Macaca fascicularis: one gene and its partner. The protein of the gene in region 2 purifies or fractionates together with the protein of the main gene of each other region. This does not show direct contact. Links are inferred from orthologs where the notes say so. Each region holds a gene or a part of one and is shown on either strand. Other genes may lie near its edges. The genes, in order: NEDD4L and ARRDC1.

The links.
Region 1: the proteins of ARRDC1 (region 2) and NEDD4L purify together in Homo sapiens (affinity purification with mass spectrometry; 3 studies listed by BioGRID and IntAct, counting the BioPlex papers as one, with this or other methods). This does not show direct contact. The link is inferred for Macaca fascicularis from reciprocal best matches to the Homo sapiens genes ARRDC1 and NEDD4L.

What each region holds. Positions count from the first base shown.
Region 1 is NC_088392.1:22,722,368-22,726,901, forward strand, and holds the start of NEDD4L (E3 ubiquitin-protein ligase NEDD4-like), read right to left. Parts: upstream 2,926-4,534; 5' UTR 2,801-2,925; coding exon 1,649-2,800; intron 1-1,648. UniProt on the Homo sapiens protein: E3 ubiquitin-protein ligase that mediates the polyubiquitination of lysine and cysteine residues on target proteins and is thereby implicated in the regulation of various signaling pathways including autophagy, innate immunity or DNA repair.
Region 2 is NC_088389.1:1,707,038-1,711,341, forward strand, and holds the start of ARRDC1 (arrestin domain-containing protein 1), read right to left. Parts: upstream 3,011-4,304; 5' UTR 2,979-3,010; coding exon 2,861-2,978; intron 1-2,860. UniProt on the Homo sapiens protein: Functions as an adapter recruiting ubiquitin-protein ligases to their specific substrates. Through an ubiquitination-dependent mechanism plays for instance a role in the incorporation of SLC11A2 into extracellular vesicles.

The DNA of each region.
Region 1 (4,534 bases), on a different chromosome or scaffold from region 2:
AGTTTTTGATAATACAACTGAATAGTTATCAAACTTTAGGAAATATATTTTTGTCAATCTTCATGTGTTAAGTGGTCCAAGTTCAGCATGGAATTGTGTTACCGAACAAAGCCTACAACTGTCATGATGGTAACTTGTTGGGGTGGGGGTTAAAGGCTACTATAATATCAAAACTCTGTCAAAATTTGTACCATTGTGTAATATATGGTATAGGTTCCGACCAAGGCAAAGCACTTAGCTGTTTCCCAACAGAAGAGTTTGAGATAATGAAAGAAAGGAGATACATGGAAAGAAAGAGATGAAGAAAAACAAATTTTCATTAAGCATCTGATTGTATCTTCAAAATGATGACAACCAATGATAGAGGAGTGACAAAGTTTACTTAAAAGACGAAACGTATTTCTGAACACAAAGCAATAAAAGACAATACAATTCTAGAGTAATACTCAGACACTCACTTTTCTAAATCACTATTCACAAGTGAAATCCAAACAAAAAGTCCCCTAGACATTTACTAATCGTATCCTCAAATTGGCAGTCACATGAAATTCAGGAGAAAAAAATATCCAATTCAAAATATAAGGAGCTTGTTCTTTAAGAGAAAGCACTCACTGGCTAGTGGTTACTACTAAAAGAAACCGAACTGATTAAACTTTTCATCCCACTCTACGAAAGCTGCAGAGTCATCATATGCCTGGTCGGATGGAGTGTGCAGCTGTCTCCCTGTACTCCATTTCACTGAAAGGGAGCGATCAGGAACAGAGAAACAGGAAGGCCAGAATCTGTTCTAAGGCGTCTATTTCCACAGCTGGAGACAGGGTACTTACTATTCTATATACAGCATCCCCGGCTTGGACACTCAAGTGGACAGTGTTAAATTGCACGGCATGCCATCTGACCATTAATGAGTCCCCGTCAGTTTCCCCTAGCCTTGGGCCATAACCCAGTTGTTTTAAAAACACATCTCTTAGTATCTCAGTAGTGTCACTTGTGGGACAGTAATGTCGCTATGCCACAAGTGACACTACTCTCGTTCAGTATTACTTAATGGGACAAAAAAATAAAAAACAACAAAAAAACCCAAAGCGAATTATATAACAACGACTGACCTGACCCCCTCAGCAAAAAGGCCATGACAAATAATCATATTTCACCAAACTTTACATTCACCTTCTTTAACTATTAAGAGACGAAACTCAGGTCCTTTGCAATATCCTCACCTTTCCGAGAACTGATTGTTTTTAAAGTATTGTCGCAGGTTATATTTGCAAGCAGCTTTTTAAATGCATTTCCACCATCAACATGTTGGGGCACTGACTTGGTTTTTGGCAGATTAAAGTAATAAATTTTATTCAAAATTCTTCTATTCAGAAAAATAAAAGCAGGGGGAAGGTATTCTGCTTGGATTTCCCAAACAGACAAAGTTGGTTGACTTTGAGGACCTACAGAAGACATTTGCAGAAATGGTGTTTTGCGCACCAAACTCTGGACCACAAATCATCGTGCCAGAACTCGGCCAAACATTCAGATCCGCTGGCCTGAAGCAGGGAAACTCCCGGGACAGAGGGTGAGGTTTATTTTGGTTACGCCGCAGAGTAAGCATCGAAGTTGAAATCAGTAAACACATGTAAACAAGCCGTGAACTTACCGTGGCGTCAGCTCCCGTGGAAACAGGGCTTTTGGCGCTTTTCTCCTCGGGATTCTGGGGAGCTTCTTCCGGCCCCCGGGTTACAAGAATTCTAAAATGCTGCTGCCCCGCGTTCTGATCCTGCCTGATCTTAAATGTGCACCCCTGGCCCTGCGGAGTCCTCTCTGCGGAGTTCGTCCTGCGGATTTCGGGAGCCATCCTGCCAGCCCGAGGCGGTGCCTCCGGGGCTCCCCGATCTTCCGTGGGGCTCCCTCTTTCGCTTCGGGGCTGCGTGGGGTACGAGGTGCTCCTCTCCAGCCGAATGCGGGGATACCTCACCAACCTGTCCCCCTTTGTGCCCGTGAAGCCAAAGTTGAGGTCACTGCCTGACCCCAGAGCGCCTTGCTGGGGCTGCTGCAACTGGAAGACAAAACACCGCTTCCCGGAGCTTCCAGAAGCATCTGGAACGTGCTGCAGGGACCAGCGCCTGGGCTCTGCCGCCGCTGGGCCGCCCTGGCCATCCGGGCCGAGGGGCAGCAGCCTCACCTGGCGCACGTCGGCGCTGGAGGCGCGGTGCTGGATGCGCAGGCCCGGGGCAGCCTCCTCGGGGCAGTCCACCGGGCCAGGGCACCGCACGCGGCGGCGGCCGCCGCACGTGCCGTTGACCTGGAGCCCCGGGTCCCGGGCTGCCCTCGGAGGGGAGTTCCCGGGGGTGTCCCTCGGCGAGGGCTCCCGGGAACCGCTCTGGGGCGAGGCCCTCGTGGTGGCGGTGGCGGTGGCGGTGGCGGAGGCCTGGTCCCCGGGGTCCGGCGTGGTGCACGGAGGCCCATCGTCGGCGCCCTCGGGCGGCCCGCACCCATCCGTGGCCCCGTCCGCGGCCTTGCGCTGCAGGGAGATCTGCACCGAGGAGCTGCACGTGGGGCGGGCGTCGATGCTGGTCAGGAGCTGCGGGATGAACATGGACGAGCTCCGCTTGAGCGCGCCCACGCCTCCCTGCAGGCCTCCGTCGCCATCCTCCCCTACGTTCTGGGCGAAGGGGTGCGGGCTGTTCCTCCGTGGTAGGGTGTGGAATGCCATGAAGAAGTCGTCTTCTCTCTCCTGGTCTAGGATCTCTGATTCGGGGGCTGTGTTGCTGCGACCAGAGCCAAAATGAAACCGAAGCCGATGGGCCATGGTGACCAGGGGGGCCAGGAGGGCGAGGGCGAGCGGCAACAACAGGCCCGGCACTGCCAGAAGTCACAAACCAAAGACACAAACTCCAAGAAAAAGTGTCCCATCTGCCAAACTGTTAGCACTGCGGCACCAGGAGCGACAGATAGCAGAAATAACCCAAGTGGCAAGCGGCATTCCAGGCATGATTGGATAAGAGCAAAAAGCTCTCATCCACACTGTGACAGAGGGTAGGGTGGCCAGAACCACATGACCGCGCTCTCCCCCTCCAATGCCAGCTTCTGGACTTAGAGGAGTTTTCCCCCACTCGCTTTTTTTTTAAACGGCAAGAGCCTGAAACAGCACCTTCCCAGCTGCTGCTTTTCCATCAGAAAGGAGTGGCCCCAGCAGGGCGCTCTCACAGCTGACTAAGGCAGCAAACACACTGCAAGCCACGCTGCTATAAATCTAAACCACATCACATTCACAGGGCATTTCTTTCCCAATGGAGCACAGCGCTGGGACTCTGTCTAACCTGTGCAGGGACCTGGCATGTTTAACAGCACACACGGTATTTCCCCACCTCCCACCACACATGGAATAACGACAAGTAAAATATGGCTTGGCCACCGGGTAAACCCCTTCCCAAGCATTGGATACCATGTTTCTGTTATTTATGACATCACTACACTACCAGGATGGAATGCAAACTAATAAAACAGTACTATAAATACGATTACACACCCCACAGAGTTAGTGTCCGTTTAATGCTAAATAATTAGACCAGGATCTACAAGTAACAAAATAGCTAAAGGGAGGGGAGGGAGCGCGACGTGCTACACACCCAGTTGGCCTCCTGCTATCACAGCATTTTTCATTTAAAAGGTGTATACGTGTGTGTAGCTCACACATGACTGGCAGACACCAAAGTACCAGAGAAAAGGAACCCAGCTGGAGAAAACATTGTCTCCCATATGCCAGGTAGGAAAGAAAACGTCAACGAAAAAACAAACAATAACAACAAAAAACAAAAGGAAAATTGAAGAAGGGAGTGCATGTGGATTTTTTTTGTGTGTGGTAATAATTTAACTTAAATACCATGCAGAAGAAATGCTGCCTAGAGCTGACTGCTCTCCAGTACGAAGTCAGCAATATTACCACAGTTGGGACACAAATATGGAATCTTGCCATGTTTGCAAAGGACCAAAAAAGACTTAAGAAATGGAAGGAAAGGTGCACAGTCGAAAAACTGTCCTCAGATTTGTAGTTAGCTTGGAAATATGCTGTATTTTAAACTCACTATTTTCTATGATCCAGAAACACCAATTAGTTAACAAAGAGGTTTATTTAGAGGGGGTGAAAAAATAGGAGGGGAAAATACCAAGCTGCAAGAGTGACAAAAAGTTTATTTTAAAATCTGCAAAGCATGACTTTGTCAATAGCCCTAGCATCCAGGGTGTGGTGGATTAACCCTGTGTTTACATACATCCAAATCTGTTTTCTAAAAGCATGTGTTTTAAATGCCAAAAATGACCTCTAGAGAGAAATGGAAGCTAGTCTGTGTAATGCTAGAACTTCCAAGTACTACCATAGCCACATATTGTCTCCGCTGGGTTAATAGCCAACAAAGAAAAACAAAACAGCAACACCAGCATTCTTTGCATAGTAACCACACTGCAGATGGCCTGGGGCAAAACTAGGCATCAATATTATAAAACACAATTTTTCAGATACAGCTTGTATTCATACAAGATTTCT
Region 2 (4,304 bases):
GGCCAGGCTGGCTGAATTCCCCAGGGAGCCCGTTTTCACTGGCCAGGCCAATGGCAGCAGCCATGTTTCTGCCTTTTCAAACCATCGAATCAGGCAGGACCACAGGATGCAGTTCTGCCCACAGAAGCCAGAGCCGTGCGTGGGGTCCATTGTGAGGGGTCTCCTTGCTGCCGGAGAGAGGCATATGACCCCACTCCCTCTTCTTTCCAGCTTGCAGACTGCTTGTAATGGCAGAACAGGCTGAAGGGAACCAAGCCTTTTGCAACAGGAAAGCCGCCAGGCAGGGCTTGGCTGCAGGACTGAGTGGCTCAGTGGCAGTTGCCTAGTCAGAGTGTGACTTCTTCCGCCTTCTGGACTTGAATGTTGCACCTCTTTGCAGGGGCCCTGCAAGCCCCGTCCCTCTTCCCCCATGCAGGTTTAAAAATGTTTCCTAGGCCGGGCATGGTGGCTTACACCTGTAATCCCAGCACTTTGGGAGGCCAAGGTGGGCAGATCACAAGGTCAGGAGATCGAGACTATCCTGGCTAACACGGTGAAACCCCATCTCTACTAAAAATACAAAAAAATTAGCCAGGTGTGGTGGCGAGCGCCTGTAGTCCCAGCCACTCTGGAGGCTGAGGCAGGAGAACAGCGTGAACCCGGGAGGCGGAGCTTGCAGTGAGCCGAGGTCGCGCCACCGCACTCCAGCCTGGGCGACAGAGCGAGACTCCATCTCAGAAAAATAAATAAATAAAATAAAATAAAAATAAAAAATGTTTCCTAAGTGTGTTCAGATGCACAACCAAGGACCAGCTGTTGGAGGCTGCTCTGACTCAGGAAGCTCATGATTGGGCCGTGTTCTCGAGGGACCACTGGAACTTTCTTCTCGAGTTCAGGAGCCCCTCCTTTGCACCACCTACACTTGGACCAAGAAGACCCACCAACTCCTCATCCTCATCCCAAAGGACTCATGCCTGCCACAGAAGCTGTGACCTGTAAGCCACTCCCCCAGTCCTGTTTCCAAATCTGTATCATGAGAGTAACAACCACGCCACAGGGTGCTGAGCGTTACTGAGGCTGGCCCATGGGATGTGGAGAGAATTTGCATCAGGCCTACCATGAGTGCTCCGAGAACCACTGTCGATCCTGGTCGCCCATCCCAGTAACAGAACACGAGGTGGTCCTGCCTGACCCCCAGCCCTGGATTGGGCCAGCCTGGGCTCCAGAAAACTGCTCCTTCCCAGGCCTCCCTCTGTGTCAGCCCTCGAGACAGCAGGCGTCCTCATGGCTGGGTGCTGACCGTCACCAACACTCATCGGCAGAGTAAGTGAGCAAGCCCAGGGGCCCAGGCAGGGCTGCTGTCCTCCTGCGGGCTGAGGGCCTCCCTACTGGCTCCTAGCAGGATTGACAAGCATCCTTTGAATGAGGAAACGATGACATTCCGTTCCCATCCCAGGCAGGGCTGGGGGAAACCCCCGGGAACCCCTGTACAACCCTCCCACCTCACTTGCAGCAGCCTGAAATATGTGCTCTCCGGCCCATCAGGGCCCATCTCCTACTCCCTAGTTCATGACCCTCCTTTTTCTCCCTCACTCGGACCAGCCTCTGTGAGCCAGTGCTACCTCAGCTCTTGGGCCAGCTGCCCAAAGTGCTGGGATTACAGGCGTGAGCGTTCACCCACCCACCACGTCCACCCGGAGGCCGGGGAGCCTGCTCATCCAGGCCAGTCACGCACCGCGAGGCCATCCCTTCCCTGTGGTCAGCAATGGCCTGCTCGCCCCAGGCCGCGCCAGGGGAGGGACGACAGGGCCCTGCACTCCCCTCGGCCCGCCTCACCCCACACCTCACCTGTATTCAAGGGATGCATGTGCTATCTCTGCCCTGCCACAGCCACACCTGCCCCCACCCAGACCCCAAACTCAAGCTGGGGACAGAGGAAGGGAGCCTGTGGGGTCATCCCAGGAGGCCCAATGGGGCCAGGAGCCTGACAGAAGCACCTACCACCAGGCTTCTTCGAGGTCCCACAGCCCCAGGCGGTGCAGGGTCAGGGCCACAGCACCATCACCTGTCCCAGGCGGCTGAGAGGACAGAACAGAGGCTGTGGGTTCTCAGCAGGCACAAAAGCGGTGCTGTCACCCACGCGCAGGCCCAGCGGTCAAGGTCCAGTGGGAAGCCCACGGGCTGTGGCCAAGCAGCCCAGGTGGTTCCCACAGGAGGCCAAGGTAGAGAAGCCCGCGGCAGGGACGCGGCACTCACAACCAGGGGCCGGGCAGAGGCCTGTGCGGAGGCTCCCATCCTCGGGAGGCAGCCTCACCTCGCTGGCCTGCCCTCACCTCCAGGGCGCCCTGCCAGCGGCCACTGCAGCAACCCGATCCCCAGTCCCCGAGGCCCAGGCGTCCGCCTCGGCGGGGGGCGGGCGAGGCCTGCTGGCGCGGGGCAGGGGGCGCGGGGAGCCGCAGCAGGTGCCTGCACCCCGCCGGGACCGCACGCCCGGGCCAGGAGCGGCTCTGCAGAGGGAGCGCCTGCGCCGGGAGCCCGGGTGCGGGAAGGAGCCCAGCAGGTGCGAGCGCGGACAGGGAGGGTCGCAGGCCTGCTTGTGCCCGCACTCAGGGCGTCCTCCACCGTGGACCCGCTTCAGGCCCCGGCTTGAGGCCCCGCCGGGACCACGCCGACCCTCGGCGAGAGGGCAGGAAGGGCAGACGCGGAAGGGCGGCGCCGCCCGGACCTCCCCGGCGCCGCCGAGCCCGCGCCCCAGCAGTCCCGGGCGGCTACGACAGCGACTTCGCGGGCCCAACCCGGGGCCCGGCGACGGCAGCCGCTTCCGGGAACCCTGGCCCCGCGCAGGTGCGGCCAATGGCCCTCCCCGAGGACCCGCGCCCACCTCGGAACGGCAGCGGCGCCCCCAGGCGCACGCGCACGGTCCCAGCCAGCGGCTCCCCGGGGCTGTAGACAACGCGGCCGTGGCTCAGGCTGATCTCGAAGAGCTGCACTCGCCCCATGCCGCGGCCTCACCGGCCCGCCGCACAGTGACGCCCCCGCCGGCAGCCCGCGAGCCCCGGCTCCGAGGTCCGGCCCCGCCCCCTCCTATGCCCCGCCCCCATCCGTCCCAATCCAGGCCACGCCCCCGTCCGGCCCTTCCCAGGCCCTGCCCCGCCCCACGGCCCCGCCCAGACCCCTGGCAGCCCCATCGCCCGCGGGCTGCCGCTCGGAGGCCCGGCCCCGCCCCTATTCCCCGCCCCATCCGTCCGCGTGGCCCCGCCCTGATTATGCCCCGCCCCTCTGACAGCTCCTCGCCCCGCCCCCGCCCTTCGCCCCTGCCTCGCCTTCCCAGCTCCGCCCCTGCCTCGGCCGCCCCACCCCTACCCCGCCCCCCGGCCCCGCTCATCCATCCCCGGCCCCGGCCCCCGCCCCGCTGGGTAGGTGCTGCGCTGCGTCGGGCGCCGCTTAAGGGACTTGAGGCGAAAGAGTCCCCAGCATCCCCCACTGAGGGAGTCACCGCCGCGTCTCTGACGGGGGGCGGGGCTGGGGGCGGGGCCGAGGCGAGCTCTGGGACTGGGAAGGGCTCCCCGCTGCGCTCTGCATAACCCACGCCTCGCCCCAACCCTCCGCCCGCCCCGCCCAGGGGTCTCCCTCACCCCGAGTCGCGGAAAAACGTCACTGGGCCGCGCGGGCGTCCTGGGCGGGGATGCTCCGCCGCCTAGCACCTGCCCTGCCTTAACCCCCACCCCCGGCTCCTACCCCGCATCCCCCGCCTTCCCCGCACCTACCCCGCGTCCCAGCACCTGTCCTGCCCTTTCGGAACCTGCCCGCCCTCCCGCCTTCCCGGTACCTGCCTGCCCCCGCACCTGTCCCGCCCTCCAGCACCTGCCTCGCCCAACCACCGCCCCCCCGCCCGCCCCCTGCCTTCCCCACACCTGCCCGGAGTCCCAGTGCCTGCCCCGCCCTCTGCTATCCCCCTCCCTGCTGGCCTGATAGGGTGCGGGCCCAACGGAGCCACACTTGGGCGGAGGCCCTGGGGCGGGGGTCCGCAACAGAAGGGTCGGGGGCCAGGTGGGGCGAGGACTTAGATCACTGGGAACCGGAGAAACACACTCCTATTTATCTTTCTTAAAGATCCTTTTGTAGAGAGTGAGCTGCGGGGGGGTAGGACTCAAATACCCCGGGGACCTAAGTGGGGAGAGAACCGTTGGATAGTCCTGGAAAGGGAAGGCCTCCCTCGCCTACGGACAAGCTCACCATGGAGTGGGTGAGGCAGGCCCCAGTGCTGCGAGTTTTTCTAGGACAGCTGGTGAAGACGGTGGCCTTCTCTGATGGGGAGGACGGGC